2 linked regions of the Tamandua tetradactyla genome follow. The protein of the gene in region 1 purifies or fractionates together with the protein of each later gene. This does not show direct contact. Links are inferred from orthologs where the notes say so. Each region holds a gene or a part of one and is shown in the gene's direction. Other genes may lie near its edges.

Region 1 (7,599 bases):
CTCCCACCTCCAGGCCATATTGTTCCCTTGGCCTCAAATTCTCTTCCTCTGGATGTCTGCATAGCTCACTCTTTTACGTTCTGGCTTCACTCCCTCACTTCCTCAGTCGCCCTCTCATTGGCCTTCTCTGGCCCACCCTATCTGCACTTAGACTTTCTCTGCCACTTGAAAACAAGGATCACCTTTCTTCCAGTTGACAATGACACATTCATCATTTCTGTCCAAGGCCTCATCTGAAGTACCTTTAGCGTCGGTATTTCTATCAACAGTTTCTTCAAAGCAGTCTAGGCCTTTTCTATTAAACTTATCACAATTCTTCCAGAATTTTCCCCTTATCCATTTATAAAACCGTTCCAGCATATTTTGGTATTTGCAAATTGCAGCATCCCACTCTTCTGGTACCAAAATCTATTTCAGTTTGCTAAAGCTGCTGGAATGCAATATGCCAGAAATGGGTTGACTTTTTCATTGGGGAGTTATTAGGTTACAAATTTACAGTTCCAAGGCCATAAAAAATGTCCAAAATTAAGGTATCAAGAGGAAGATGCCTTCTCTGAGGAAAGGCTGCTGGCATCTAGGGTGCCTCTGTCACATGGGAAAGCACATGGTGATGTCTGCTAGTCCTTCTTTCTTGGGTTCTGGTTTCAATGCTTCTCTCCAAATGTCTCTGGGCATTTCTCTCTTTGTTCTCTCATAAAGGGCTCTGGTATGGGATTAAGAGCTACCATGAATGGGGTGGATCAGTTCTCAATTGAACCAAAAGTTCCCACCCACAACAGGTCTGCCCCCACAGGGATGGATTAGAAGAACACAGCTTTCCCAGGCAGGGGTGTAAATTTCCCTGGCAATGTGGGACAGAAATCCTGGGATGAGCTGGGACCCAGCATCAAGCATTAAGAAAGCCTTCTTGACCTAAAAGGGGAAGAGAGAAATGAGACAAAATAAAGTTTCAGTGGCTGAGAGACTTCAAACAGAATGGAGAGGTTATCCTTGAGGTTATTCTTACATATTACATAGATATCCCTTTGTTCTAGTTTGCTAGCTGCTGGAATGCAATATACCAGAAACAGAATGGCTTAAAAAAAGGGGGAATTTAATAAGTTGCTAGTTTGCAACTGATAATATGTCCCAATTAAAACAAGTCTATAGAAATGTCCTAGCTAAGGCATCCAGGGAAAGATACCTTGATTCAAGAAGGCCGATGAAGTTCAGGGGTTCTCTCTCAAGTGGAAGACACATGGTGAACACAATTGGGGTTTCTCTCTTGGCTGGAAGGGCACAAGGTGAACACAGTCAGGGTTTCTCTCTCATCTGGAAAGGCACATGGCTAACACAGCGTCATCTGCTAGTTTTCTCTCCTGGCTTCCTTTTCATGAAGCTCCCTGGGAGGCATTTTCTTTCTTTATCTCCAAAGGTTGCTGGCTGGTAGACTCTAAGCATTCTCTGCTCTCTCTGAATCTCCCCCATTCTCCAAAATGTTTCCTCTTTATAGGATTCCAGTAAACTAATCAAGACCCACCCAAATGGATGGAGCCATGTCTCCACCTAATCCAACTTACCACTCTTGATTGAGACACATCTATAGGGAGATGATCTAATTACAGTTTAAAACATAAAGTACTGAATAAGGATTGGAAGAAATGGCTGCCTTTACAAAATGGGATTAGGATTAAAACATGGCTTTTCTAGGGTACATACATCCTTTCAAACCAGCACATACTTTTTAGTTTATGGTGTATTGGAATGGCCGAAGGGAGGTACCTGAAACTGTTGAGCTGTGTTCCAGTTGCCTTATTTCTTGAAGATGATTGTATAACGATATAGCTTTTACCATGTGACTGTGTGATCCTGAAAACCACGTGTCTGATGCTCCTTTTATCTAGGATATGGACAGATGAGTGAAAAAATATGGGTAAAAAAATTAACCATGAAGATAAAGTTTAAAATAAATTGGGTAGATGGAAAAACCAGTGGTCAATGAGAGGGAGGGGTATGGGGTATGGTGTATTTGAGTTTTTTTCTTTTCCTTTCTTTTTCTGAAGTGATGCAAATATTCTAAAAAATGATCATGGTGATGAATACACAACAATGTGATGTTGTGAGCCATTGTTGTAACATCATATATGGAATGTTTGCATGTTAAGATTTATCAATAAAAATATTTAAAAAAAAAGAAGAACATGGCCTTTTCTGGGGTCTATAACAGCTCTAAACCAACACAATTACCAATTAGGTTCTTATGTTATTGTATGTTTCCCCAACGTGGGTGTCATGGTCATGTTCGTGTGTCAACTTAGACAAGTGGTGGCTGGGCAAGTGCTGACTTGTCTGTTGTGATGAGGACATTTCATAGAATTAAATAAAGAGTTGAATGAGATTATGTAGGCCAAATGTCCTCCTGTTGGATTCATACAACATTTGTTAGTACTCTCCCTTTTCAAACAGAGGGGAGACACCGAGGATTTATTTTCTAATATTAATTCTCCTTCTTTCCATAAACCTTCTTTTTCGGTGTCAGTCAGGGTTCCAACAGAAAACCCTTTTGAAAGTATACTCAAATTAGAGTCATCTGAGGAAGGGTTTAATGACAAAGGATCATTTGAGGAGGCTGAGGTGTAGAGGAACATAGGGAATAGAGGAGAAACCTAGTAAAAAGTAGAACAATCACATGGCCCCTAGGTCTAAAGGGAGAAGGGGAATGAAGGAGATTTGGGTAAAGTGTTTTGCCTTGAGAAGATCATTGAGGACTTCCTGGAACACATCTAGTCCCAGGAGACCTCATAAATAGTCTGACTTCACACTCCTTTTCCCCCTTGCAGAAGACTTCCTGTTGGGTTTCCCTATCTTTAGACTTATTTAAAAGAGAGAGGGCTAAGGAGCCCTTTGATGTGAGCCCACGGGTCAGCCCCCAGGGCAGACAGCAAGGTGCAGAAGAGTGGAGAACTTCAATACAATGTGATAAGCACCACACAAAGCCCAGCACAGAGTACTATGGATTCTTAAAAGTGAGGTTTCTCTTTCATAACTTGAATTTGTGTGGGAGGCATGGAGTGGTGGTACTGGGCTGGAGTTTGGGAGGGGCTTCCTGGGGCTTAAGGCAATTCAGAACTCATTTTAACTCTTTGGTTTATCTTGCTATTGTGAGTCTTCAATATATTCAAATGAGTATACAAATTTGCAAGAATCTCATTTACAAAATTCGACTTTAGATCTCAACAATGAGTGGCCTTAAATTTAAAATAACTAAATTTGGGAGGGTGGGTGGATATGATGGTTTAAAAAGAAATTGTGAAAGCTTGTTACATAATAAAACTTAAAAATGCAAAATGAGGAATAAGTGTTGTGGTAGACTGAATTATATACTCCAAAAAAAGAGATATATTCTTATCTTAATCTGCATTCCTGTGGGTATCAACCCATTATAAGTATGAACTTCTGAAGATACTATTTTTAGTGAAGGTATGGCCTCACTGAATCCCGTCAGCCTTTGTCTATATTACTGGAGGCCTTATAAGAGTCAAGAGCCAATACTGGATTTAGGAGAAACTGGAAGAGCAGGTGAGAGAGTGAGAATGAGAGAGAAAGAGAGAGAAATTCCCAAGAATTGCTGCAATCCAGCGTGAGAACACTGAGAAAGCATGGCTTGATTTTGGACATCTGGTCTTCAAAACCATGAACCAATGAATTCCTGTTGGTAAGCCAATCCATCGACAATTTAGGCTAATGTTCATAAAGACTCTTTATTCAACATTCTCTTCTATATATTGTTCCACCCTTGAGAAAACCGTATAGGACTTTATACCTTGACAATTTATAATAAAAACAAGAAAACTCCTTACATAGCAGTTGTAGTTGGTCATAAGAAAGACAGCCACATGTGGAATTTAAGGTTAAACATGAAGGGATACTATCAGAGTAGGGTGAGTGTGGTTGGAACAGGTAGGGAGGAGGGCGAGAAGAGGGAAGGAAACAAATTTTTCTTGAGTGCTTTTCTATGCACCATAGGTTCTGCTATTTCTTGCTAGGTTACCTAATAGAATACTGCGTTTGTGCCTGAGAATCTCACTGCAGTAATTATTTTCTCTGTAATTAGATGTAATTATTGTGAAATGTAATGAGGAGCCTGTCCACAATCAAAAAAAACAAGAATTTCCAGGAGGATCACCACTACTGTAGCTACAAATGTCAAATCGCTGGGGGAAAACAGAAGCAGTAATTATAACCAGAACTAAGGAAGAAATCCTGGGCAGTTAGTAGTACTTCAAACGGCTTCACAAGATGCTTGGGATGCATCGTGTGGGAAATCCAGAGAAATGTTTCAAATCGCATTGGGACAAACGCAGGGAAGAGAAATGAGGAGCAGCAGTCCTGAACCGGCTGTAAAGGGACCTATCCCTCACCAGCACAGAAGAGTCCTTAGATAGCCTCAACTTCTGGATCTTCCAATCCACCCCTCCCCTTTTCCCTTCTCTGCGCCGCGGCCCGCCCCTTCCCGGGTCTCCGAGTCCACTCACTCTCCCCGCCCCGCGGTCGGCCCCGCCCACTCCCCCTGGCCCGGCTCCGCCCACCACCCTGCGCTGCGGCCTGAGGCCGAGGGGCGGGGCAGGCCGGGAAGAGCCACACTCCCCAGCGGCCGTAGGATCCGCCGCGGAGTTACGAGAAAGTTGGTCCGAGTTCCTGGAGTTTCCTTCCTTGGCTCCCCGGGCCCGGCCGGCGGGTGTTCCAGCTTCTTTCCTCCCTCCAGCCTTCCCCGCCCGCCAGCTCCCTCTCTCTGCCCCAGGCCGCCATGGAGCAGCCACCGGCGCCCAAGAGGTAATCAATAAGGGGAGCGGGGAGAAGGAGGGACGCGCCGCTGGCAGCCCCGGGGCGGGTTCGGTTAGGCCAGGCCAGATCGCGACCCCCCACCCCGGCTTCCGGGCTCTGGGCCGGCGCGCCGTGGGTCAGGAGGGAGGTCCGGCTGCAGGCGCCGCCTGTCCTCGGGGCGAGGGGACCCGAGCGGAGGCCGTGACTGGCTCCCCCCGCATGCGTCCGGCGGGGCCTGGCGCGCGTGGAAAGGAGAGTGGGCAGCGCCCGGCTCCCCGCGGCCGGACCTCCTGCGGCTCCGGGGCAGGTCGAGTTTTCCCCTCGCGGCAAGTTTACGAAGACTGGGAGACATAAAACAGGGACATTACTAGTGTTCTGCCAGTCTTGTAGGCGTTCTTGTCAAATGTTCTTCGTAATTTTTTTTGTTTGTTTAAAGAAGTTGGGTTGTTTATTTACTGTTTAAGGAATTAAATATTAATAGGCACACAATCTCTGAAACTTGCGGATTTGCCGCACTGACAGGTGTTTCTCCACTTAGTTCAAAAGTATTTATGGATGCTAGACAGTAGGGATCTTAAATTAGAACCCCTTCCCCTATAGTTTTTTGTTTTTCTTTTAGCATGTAAAAATAGTGATGCTTTGGTATTTACTGTTAGTTTATGTTTAATCTATGATATTATATTGGAAATGTAAGAATGCAGAGTAAATACGTTTGAATTAATATTTGAAATGATCTAAATAAAGATTGTTTATTGATACAATTGCATAATATGGATTTTTCCTTCAAGAATGTATCTGTAGCTTGATATTGGAAAAAAACATTAACTTCAGGCTTTCTTTTTTTTTTTTTGAACTATTTTTATTGTATAGTATAACATATATACAAAGCAAAGAAATAAAAAAGCAATAGTTTTCAAAGTACTCTTCAACAAATTGTTACAGGACAGATCCCAGAGTTTGTTATGGGCTACCATACGATCCTCTCATATTTTTCCTTCTAGCTGCTCCAGAATATGGACGGCTAGAGGGCTTAAACACTTTTTATCATCACAATCGACTTTTTTTTTATTTCTTTTTTTTGTGAACAATAACATATATACAAAAAACCTATAAATTTCCAAGCACGGCACCACAGTTAGCTGTAGAACATATTTCACACTTTGACATAGATTACGATTTCACGTTTTTACTTCTAGCTACTCTAAAATACTGGAGACTAAAAGAAATGTCAATTTAATGATTCAGCATTCATATTCATTTTTAAGTCCTATCTTCTATGTGTAATTCTGCTGTCACCTTTGATCTTTCCATACCTCTCTTGGGGTTGTTTGGGCTATAGTAATTCTAAATTTTTCATATTGGAAGGGTCTGTCACTAATATGGGTAGGAAGATGGAACTATCTGATGTTCTGGAAAGGTTGGGCTAGGTTTCAGGACTTATGTGGACCAGGGACCCATCTGGAAGTTGTAGGTTTCTGGAAAGTTACTCTAGTGCATGGAACCCTTGTGGAATCTTATATATTACCCTAGGTGTTCTTTAGGATTGACTGGAATGGTCCTGGTTGGGGGTGGGCAGATTATGATCCATAGCAAGGTCTACTTGAAGCTTGCATAAGAGCAACCTCCAGAATAGCCTCTTGACCCTATTTGAACTTGTTCTGCCACTGATCTTTTATGAGTTATACTTCTTTTCCCCCTTTTTGGTCAGGATGGAATTGTTGATCCCACGGTGCCAGGTCTGGATTCATCTCTGGGAGTCATCTCCCACATTGCCAGGGAGACTTTCATCCCTGGATGTCATGTCCCACGTAGGAGGGAGGGCAGTGATTTCACTTGCAGAGTTGGGCTTAGAGAGACTGAGCCACATCTGAGCAACAACAGAGGTCCTCCAGAAGTAACTCTTAGGCATGCCTATAGGTAGGCTAAGCTTCTCCACTACCTACATAAGCTTCACAAGAGTAAACCTCATGATCAAGAGCATAGCCTGTGGATTTGGATATCTCTAAAGTTTGACACAGTATCAGGGGTTTCAAACCTTACCTAATGGTAAGGTTTAATAGTTTCATGTTCTTTTTCCCCTCCCTCAGGAGACTTTGCCAGTACTTTTTGATTATCTGCTTAATATACTCTACGATGTATCCAGGCATTACAATAATCTATACAAGATTAAAGGACCTCTTTCTTATTCTGTGCTTCCTGTGTTTCAGTTATTCAAATGAGCTATACAGATAGGTTGAATTAGATTATACACGACTGAAAATTTCAATTCCAGATCAAATAAACCTTTCTTCTATTGGTCTCAAAGAGTATGTGTGGTTCTAAAATGTAGACGCTTTTTCTTACTCCTATATTCTGAATTACTTTAACCCCAACCTGTTCGGCTTTGTTTTTACTCTAAATATCAGGTTATATATATATATATATATATATTTATATATAAAACAGCCTCTCAAAATCCAGAAATGTTAATCACCACTCCGGACTTAATGTATCTACTCAAAAGCTTACAATCTAGGCCCCTGTTTTCTTATAAGCATTTTCTAAAGGTGTCCATGCCATTTTTTTTTTTTTTTTGTTTGTTTGTTTCTGGCTTATTTTGTCTCACCAAATGTCCCATATGTTCATTCACATTGTTGCATGCCTCATGACTTTGTTCCTTTTTGTAGCAGCACAGTCTTGTTCATAAGTATGCACCATCGTTTGCTGTTTTACTTCTCCGTTAGTGCATCCTTCAGCCACCTGCCTTCATCAGGCATCACTTCAAGGGCCCAAAGTCCACAGTCCATCAACATTCTC
Region 2 (7,487 bases), on another chromosome or scaffold:
ACAAAAGCTTGTCCTCTCCGGAAATGGCACCTCATCTATCCACCCACACAAGCTGGAAGTAGGGGAAACATCCTCTAGATCTCATTTTCTCTCACCACCCTCCAAATCCATCCATATCTGAACCCTATTGATTTTACTCCCTAAATAGCTCTGAAATCCATCCAGTTTTCCCCATTTCCAGGGCATCTACTGTGGCTCAAACTCCTACCCTCTACAATGCCATCCTGCCATGTGAACTACAGCAATAGTCCCAATTGCTCTTCCCATAGTTCCTCTTACTCCTTCTAATCCAACCTCCATGCTGTAGCTCAGAGGTATGTTAAAGACCATTTCACTCCATAGTTGAAATGTTTGGTTGGTTTCCCATTTTCTTAGGATAAAGACCCAAATCCTTAATATGGCCTAAAATAAGCCACATAACTTGGCTTTTCTGGCTTCGTCTGCTGCTCACTGCCAGATTTATTCACTGTAGCACACTGGCCTTTTTTTCAATGACTTAGAATGTACCGTGCTTATACTGTGCCCTTTGCCTTGCATACTAAGTAATCGTTCAGAACACAGCCTTGTCATTTCCTTAGGTAGCTCTTCCCAACCCCAGACCTATTTGCACAACATCAGACTTCTGAGCCCTAGTGCTTACCACAATTTAGATAAAATAATTGCAATATTAGTTATTTCATATTTGTCTCTCCTGCTTGAGTGTCAGCCTTTAAGGACAAGGTCGTGTCTATGGGTTCATTGGTACATCATTAGCATCTTGGTGCAAGGCACATGATGAAGCTGGATAAAATAGGACAACTGTAAGTCCCTGGTCTCCTATTCAACTCTGAAAGAGTTAACAGACAACTGCAAGTTTCTTGTTTCTTACCTAACTCCAAAAGAACTTATACAGAGCTGCAAACTTCAGCTGCAGACTTCCTGCAACAAAAATTTCCCAAACGCCCCCAAACCTCCCAAAACTACTGAAACCTCCTCAAACCATAAAAACTTGTAAAATTCTGGGCCCAAAGCAAACTCTTAGTTAATAATAGCAAGCACAATGTCATAAAGATTGTTAACCATTTGCCCAAAGACAAATTTCAGGTATGTGACAACAAACCACTAATTCTGCTAGCTGTCTCCTCCTAGAACAAAGAAGACACGTACTATTCAAAGGTCACTGTGGAAACCTGCCACTGGTAAAACTTTCCTATAAAACAAGCTGGGGGCAGGCAATAGTGGCTGAGTGGCAGAGTTCTTGCCTGCCATGCCAGAGACCCGGGTTTGATTCCTGATGACTGCCCAGGCAAAAAAACACCCAACCAACCAAACAAAAAACAAGCTGGCCTACTCCATTCAGGGCATGTCCCTTCTGTGGGCACACCTGCATTAACCTCTCTAATGTGTACTCTCTCTTTCTAATAAATGTCTCTTTCAATAAACTTTACTTATGCCTACTGGCCCTCTCATCTCTGAATTCTTTTAGTTTAAAGACTATGGAACTTGGATCGGGGTTCAGCTGGCACCTCTGCCAGCAGGACATGGGTTACAATACCAGTAAATTAGTGTTCCACATTGATAAAGTACCAGTGCCCAAACCAGGCACTGCATTCAGCTTTCTTGTGCCTTAACTCATTTATCCTCTTAATGAAGCTGTACAGCGGTTCAGCTGTTATTATCCCTATTTTACAGATGTAGAACATGCACAGAGAGGTGAAGTAAGCTGCCAAGGTCACAAAGTGGAAAAGGGGATTTGGATCTAACAGTTCAGCTCCAAAGCCTGTGTGCTTGCGTGACACAGTATTTATTGAAAGCAAGTCCTTTTTAGCATTTATGGAATTGACCTACTCAGGGAATTGATCATAAACAAATTAAATATTCTAGAGCACCTCTTTAGTAAAGTGTAATATGTTTAACTATGGAGATGGTTATACTTTTTACCATGTTTTGGAAACTGTTTTTGTGGATCTTTGCCAAGCTCCTAAGAGATAATCTGTCCAAAGGTGAACACTCCTGGTGATAGAAATAGACCAAAGTAATAATCGAGGCCTTCGTACCTCTGAGACACATTAAAAAGTGGTCTTTAAAGATATGGGCTTGGAAGTATATATACGTTTTGCTAACAGAACAAACCTGAACTTCTAAGTGAACAGAACAAACCTGAGGCCAAACTTGTCATTGTTCCTAGTTTAAATGTTAACAGATAAGTCAATTGCATTTTAAACTGCTGTCTTAATTGCTTAGCATTGTCACTTTTTTTGTGGCTTTGGGAAGAGCAAAAATGCACAGGATGGAAAATAGGGTTTTGTTTTACCCCTTAAGTTTGACTCTAGTACTGGCTTGAGAGGCCCTCACCTGTGTTTTCATATCCATATTTAATAACCAAATTAACCCTTTCCAACTGCTGCAAGGTTGTCCTGAGTAGCCTGTAATGATGTTTGTATAGTTCTTTGAACTGCTAGAAGAAGGTGTTAATAAATCCCAAAGAATAAACCACTTAAACAGAGCACCATTTGATGAGGGGTAGACAATTCTCTGGGGGCTCTGAGTCATTATGAATGCAATGCCTTAAAACAGTCATGGGGGAATTATTCCCAAGGCATTTCATGTATTGTTAGAATATCAGATTTGTATAGATTTTAAGACTATGCCTATAGGATTTGGAAGCAATATGGATGGAAAGAGGAAAACTGTGGACACACTTGGAGGATGCTTTGATGGACAGAGGTTTCCTAATGATACAGACTGGGAAATTGGGGTACAGTCAGTTACACTTGGTGGGTGGGAAATCAGTGTCCCATAGGGGAGTGACTGGGAACTTCCTCAGCATGCTTTATCTGCTAATTGGGTGCGTGCACACTGGGAATTTCCAAAGGCTTTCTGGAAAGAGAGATTCCATCCAGCTGTGGAGGGGTTAGGGGCCAGTTCAGCCAAGGCTTCTGTTCCCTCCGCTAACTTGCCAACCCAGGAGAGGTTCTAAGGCAAGCAAGGAACTGTAGTTAGTGAAACCTTTTGGGAACATCAGTTTACAACTAAACAAATGTGGGACACCATCCAGTGGAGTGACTGCCAACCTCAAGCCCCCGCCTCCTTTTTTTAAACATTAAGCTCCTTTTTGATAAACATACACTTCTGGTAACCCTCCTTTAATAATTAAATTTTCAAAAATACCTTTTGTGAATACAAAGAAATCAAGGGAAAGGTAATGTTAGAATATGCTTTTCGAACTACATAAGCATTCCAATCCCCCCACGGTCTTCTTTCTGGTTGTGGGGCAGGCTCCAGCGAACGCTAGGTCAGCTATTCCTCCGCATTGCACACGAAGCCTTGGTCAGCCTGGGTCTAGACGACTGTTCCATTCGTCTCATTTATTTTCCACACAAACCTAGCTTGTCCTTTATCGCAGTAGCCTCAACGTGTCCTTTGTTTTGCGGCGCTTCCTAGGAATTTAAATTCAGGATGCACTGCAAAGGTTTATTTACAGCACATTGTTCATTTGTTTCACTTGATGGTCCTGTCCCGGGCCACCACGCGGGCAACCGGTTGAAGATGTGTCAGCAACTTTGCTGCTGGCATTTTCCTCCTTATTCAGTTTACTACAGGCGGCCGTGGGTGCTGCAGGCGAATTCGTTCCTAGCGAACGTGACGCCGGTTTTTGCTTTGGAGCTATCATTCATCGCAGCCAAGGAGCAGCAGCGCTGTACATTCGGACTTTTGTCATTTGACGTGTGTACCCGGTCAGTGTCCCCAATGAGGTGGCGAGGGCGTTTCCCCCGCGTGATTTCGCCCTTTCTGGAGAGAATCCAGAGAGCCGGAGACGCTGGCTGGGAACAGGACCGAGACTCAAGTTCTCCCGTGCAGGGATGGATGGGTTTAGACAGTAAACTGATAAGCCCCGGCCTGTATTCCACAGGGTAGATTTCATATTATTCATCAGCCTCCAAAGCATTTGTTTTTCTTTTTTAGCGCGGTCGAGAGCTCCCAGGAGCCCCAAGCAGGGTCAGCGCGCTCCACCCATCCGCCTTCAACGGACGTCGCTTCTTCCCGCCCGCGGACCACGCACACTACACTTCCCAGCAGGCACCACGCGCTGCGCCTCCAGGGACCGGCCGCGCTTAGGCTCCGCCCCACGCAGGGCTTGCTGGGAACTGTAGTTCACCGGCGCCTTCCGTCTCCTTCCTTCCATCAGGCATTGCCACTTGGAAGACGGTGATGCGGGACCATCATAAGGCTTCTTGTTTCGTAATCGGAGCTAACGCGAGAGAATATTGCTCCTCTAGCACCACGGGGCGCCCCGTTTCCTCCCACAAACCTTAGCGCCGCCCCTGACCACGCCCGTTCCCTTGACAGCTGGCCCGGGGGCTCCGGCCACTGCCGAGGACTGCAGTGCGCAGACGCATCGAGATCGCGCCGTGCTGGGCGGGTCTGGGGGCGGGGTGAGCGCCGAGCGGCAGGCGGCGGGGGCGCGCACGTCTGCACGCAGCCCGTCACGTGGGGCGCCGGGATCGCAGTGCGCGCGGCCGCGGCGGCTGGTGTGGGGTTGAGTCAGTTGCGAGACCGGAGCTGCTGACCCGTCCGGCGGCCGGCCCAGCAGCGCCAGGGCGGCAGGCGGAGGCGAGCTGGGAGCCGGAGCCGGGCTCGGCCGTAGAGCGTCTCCAAGCCCGTGCCTTCCCTGCCCCCGCCGGCAAACCGCCGCCGCGGGCGCGCCCCCGCTCTGCGCTGTCTCCGATGGCGTCCGCCTCTGGGACCATGGCGAAGCACGAGCAGATCCTGGTCCTCGACCCGCCCACAGACCTCAAATTTAAAGGTGGGCAGCGCGCGGTGGAGCTGACGACTGTCTCCCCTCGGGGGCTTGGCGTGGGGTCCAGGGGGCGGCGGGCGCGCGGGGTGTTGGCCTGACGGGTGCGGCGTCCCCTCCCCCACGCGCGGCCCTCCGGCTCGGGCGCACTCGCCGCCCCGCCGCCTCCCTCTCCGCGGTCCTCCTCCCCGCCCTCGCTCCTCGGTGCGCGCGCCGGCCGGGGGCGGGAGGGCCGGCCTGCTCCCGCTGCCGCTCCCGGCCGGGTCTGGCTCCCGCGCCGCCGCCATCTTGAGGCCCGCCGGGCGCTCCGGAGTGGTCCTCCCGGCCCCGCCGCTTTGGGGTGTCCCTGGCGGTCTCATCTGCGTGCTCCTCCCGTTCCGACCGCTTTGGGTTGTCCCCCTCGGCCTGACCTGGAGGTGCTCCTCCCTGCCCGACCCGGGTGCTACCCCCGGTCGGCTTCGACGTGCTCCCTTTGGCCCCGGGTACTCCTCTGGGTTCGGGGTACTCCTCTGGGTTCGGGGTGCACCTCCCCCACCGCGGCCGGGTCGTCCCCGCCGCTGGCCCTTTGACCTCCGGGCCGTTCGGAGGCTGCGGGCGGGCAGCGACCTGAGAGCAGCGCGCTGCGGTCCACGGGGGAAAGGGCGTGTGAGGCGGCGCCAGTTGCACCCGTGGCTTTCTGTCCACCGGGCGGGAGGTTCGGCATCGAGGCCGCAGCTCGCGACCCAGCCCCGGAGGGACACGGTCCCTCTGCCTCCTGCCGCCGTCCGCATCCCGGGGGAACGCCGGGTACAGCCGGCCTTTTGCCCGGAGAGGGTGTTGCTGCTCGACTTGACTGAGTTAATAACTCTCCTGTTAGGCGTTGGGAGCCCCGAGTTCTTCTGGTTATCACCTACCTGGTTTCGTTGTAAATGACGTGCGGGGAGGAAGGCTGGGCGCCAACTTGAAGATCTGCGGTGGGAGCGTCCTGGTGGTGGGGCTTCCCGTCCGCGGTGGCATTTCAGTTTACCTTGCGTGCAGAGCCCTGTCTACTCCGGTTCAGTTTAGCCCTTGAGCTGAGCGTCTCTGCTGCGGAGTCTTCAGTTTGTGGCATTTGCCTTTGGATTTGCGGTTTCCCACTTCACCGTGAAAAGGCTGTGAACGTTTCGCTCGGCTTCGTAAACGTCATTAATTTCTTTTGCAGCAACACCCACGATAAACTTACTAGTCTAACTTAGTGGTGCTTGAGGAATCCGGGGGCTATTTCGTCCGTTTGCGTTTCAGTATGTAGACGGAGGGTAGTTTAGGGAAGGAAATTAAAAAATGAACATTTGTGGATTTTTTTTTAAAAGAACTGCTGAAAGATTGTGACGTTCTTGAGTAGACTCTTTTATCCTAAGTATAGAGTGAGCTCCCTTTTGGAAGTCGTTATCTTGTATTTCAGTTTCAGTAGCTTACAATTTTGTAAGGTGTATAGCAGTTCCAGCGTTAAGAGAAGTTATTGTTGTATAAGGTCGTATCCAAAAGGAAAAAATACATCATTTTTCCATAGAAAATTTTAAATTAAAAAATTTTTTTGGAATAGTTTTAGCAAGTTCTTTTCTCTTTCACTCTGGAATTATGAGAGTATTGCATAACTTTTTAACTTTGCAGTTCTCTTAGTACATTTGTAAATTTCTTTGAATGGTAATGTGAGTTGCTTGTTAGGTAAGGATTTGATTTTATAGACAACTCTAAGAAGTATTTTGAGGTGCAGTGAGTGCATGACTTTCCATAGTTTTAGCTGAAAAAAAAACTTTTGAGGAATCCAAAAATTATCTAACTCAAATATCGATTATCATAAGCTGAGGAATTTTAATGTAAACTATTATGTGTGTTCTTTCTGCAGTTTAAATATTTTGTTTTCGTCTTTTGACAGCCTGAATTTAAAGAGAACATTTCCTTTATCTGATAACCAGTGTGTTGGGTTAGAAGCATTTAAAAACCAGTTTAGGCCAGGAATTGTCCACAGTTTGAAGGTTTCTTCCTAGAGTGGTTGTAATGCTGTCATAGTAAAAGAAATAATAGTAGGTTAAAAAACAACCCCAAACCCTACATGATGACTACATTTGATTAATGATGTTCAGCAATGAGTAATTCATTCAGCAGGTATCAGCTTATATTGGGGGAGTCATTGCTAATCAAGGTAGAGAAAAGATTCCCATGGTTAGTTCATAGTTTAATGGGGAAGGCATACAATTAAAAAACAGTAAAATGTGTTAGGTTTTGTCTTTGCCCTTGAAGAACTTCCAAGACTAATCAGGGAGACAAAAAAGGCAGGAAGATGCTCTAACAGAGGCACAAACATATCTATAAGAAAAGAGGGCCCCGCTTCTTTTCTACTTCCTCCTCACATTAGAGTAGGAAGCCTTAAAGGAAGAGACTAGCTATGGTAGGTGGGTGGTAGGGAGTGGGGAGAATGGCCAAAGACAATGGTTGAGTAAACTCACTGATGTGAAAGAATGCTTGGCATATACTCCCCCCCGCCTTTTTCTTTTTATTAGAGAAGTTGTAGGTTTATAAAAATTATGCAGAAAATAAAGTTCTCATATACCCCTTTGTGTACACGGTTTTCGCAGTTATCAACACTTTGCATTATCATGGTACCTTGTTATAATTGATGAAGTATACTTATAGTATTTATAATATAACTATAGTCCATAGTTTACATTGGGGCTCACTGTGTTGTACAGTT

The links. The genes of interacting proteins can lie anywhere in the genome.
Region 2: the proteins of STK3 (region 1) and VAPA purify together in Homo sapiens (affinity purification with mass spectrometry; 4 studies listed by BioGRID and IntAct, counting the BioPlex papers as one, with this or other methods). This does not show direct contact. The link is inferred for Tamandua tetradactyla from reciprocal best matches to the Homo sapiens genes STK3 and VAPA.

The regions. Positions count from the first base shown.
Region 1 is NC_135332.1:142,776,623-142,784,221, reverse strand, and holds the start of STK3 (serine/threonine-protein kinase 3), read left to right. Parts: upstream 1-4,578; 5' UTR 4,579-4,786; coding exon 4,787-4,812; intron 4,813-7,599. UniProt on the Homo sapiens protein: Stress-activated, pro-apoptotic kinase which, following caspase-cleavage, enters the nucleus and induces chromatin condensation followed by internucleosomal DNA fragmentation.
Region 2 is NC_135344.1:73,603,061-73,610,547, forward strand, and holds the start of VAPA (vesicle-associated membrane protein-associated protein A), read left to right. Parts: upstream 1-4,479; 5' UTR 4,480-4,707; coding exon 4,708-4,786; intron 4,787-7,487. UniProt on the Homo sapiens protein: Endoplasmic reticulum (ER)-anchored protein that mediates the formation of contact sites between the ER and endosomes via interaction with FFAT motif-containing proteins such as STARD3 or WDR44.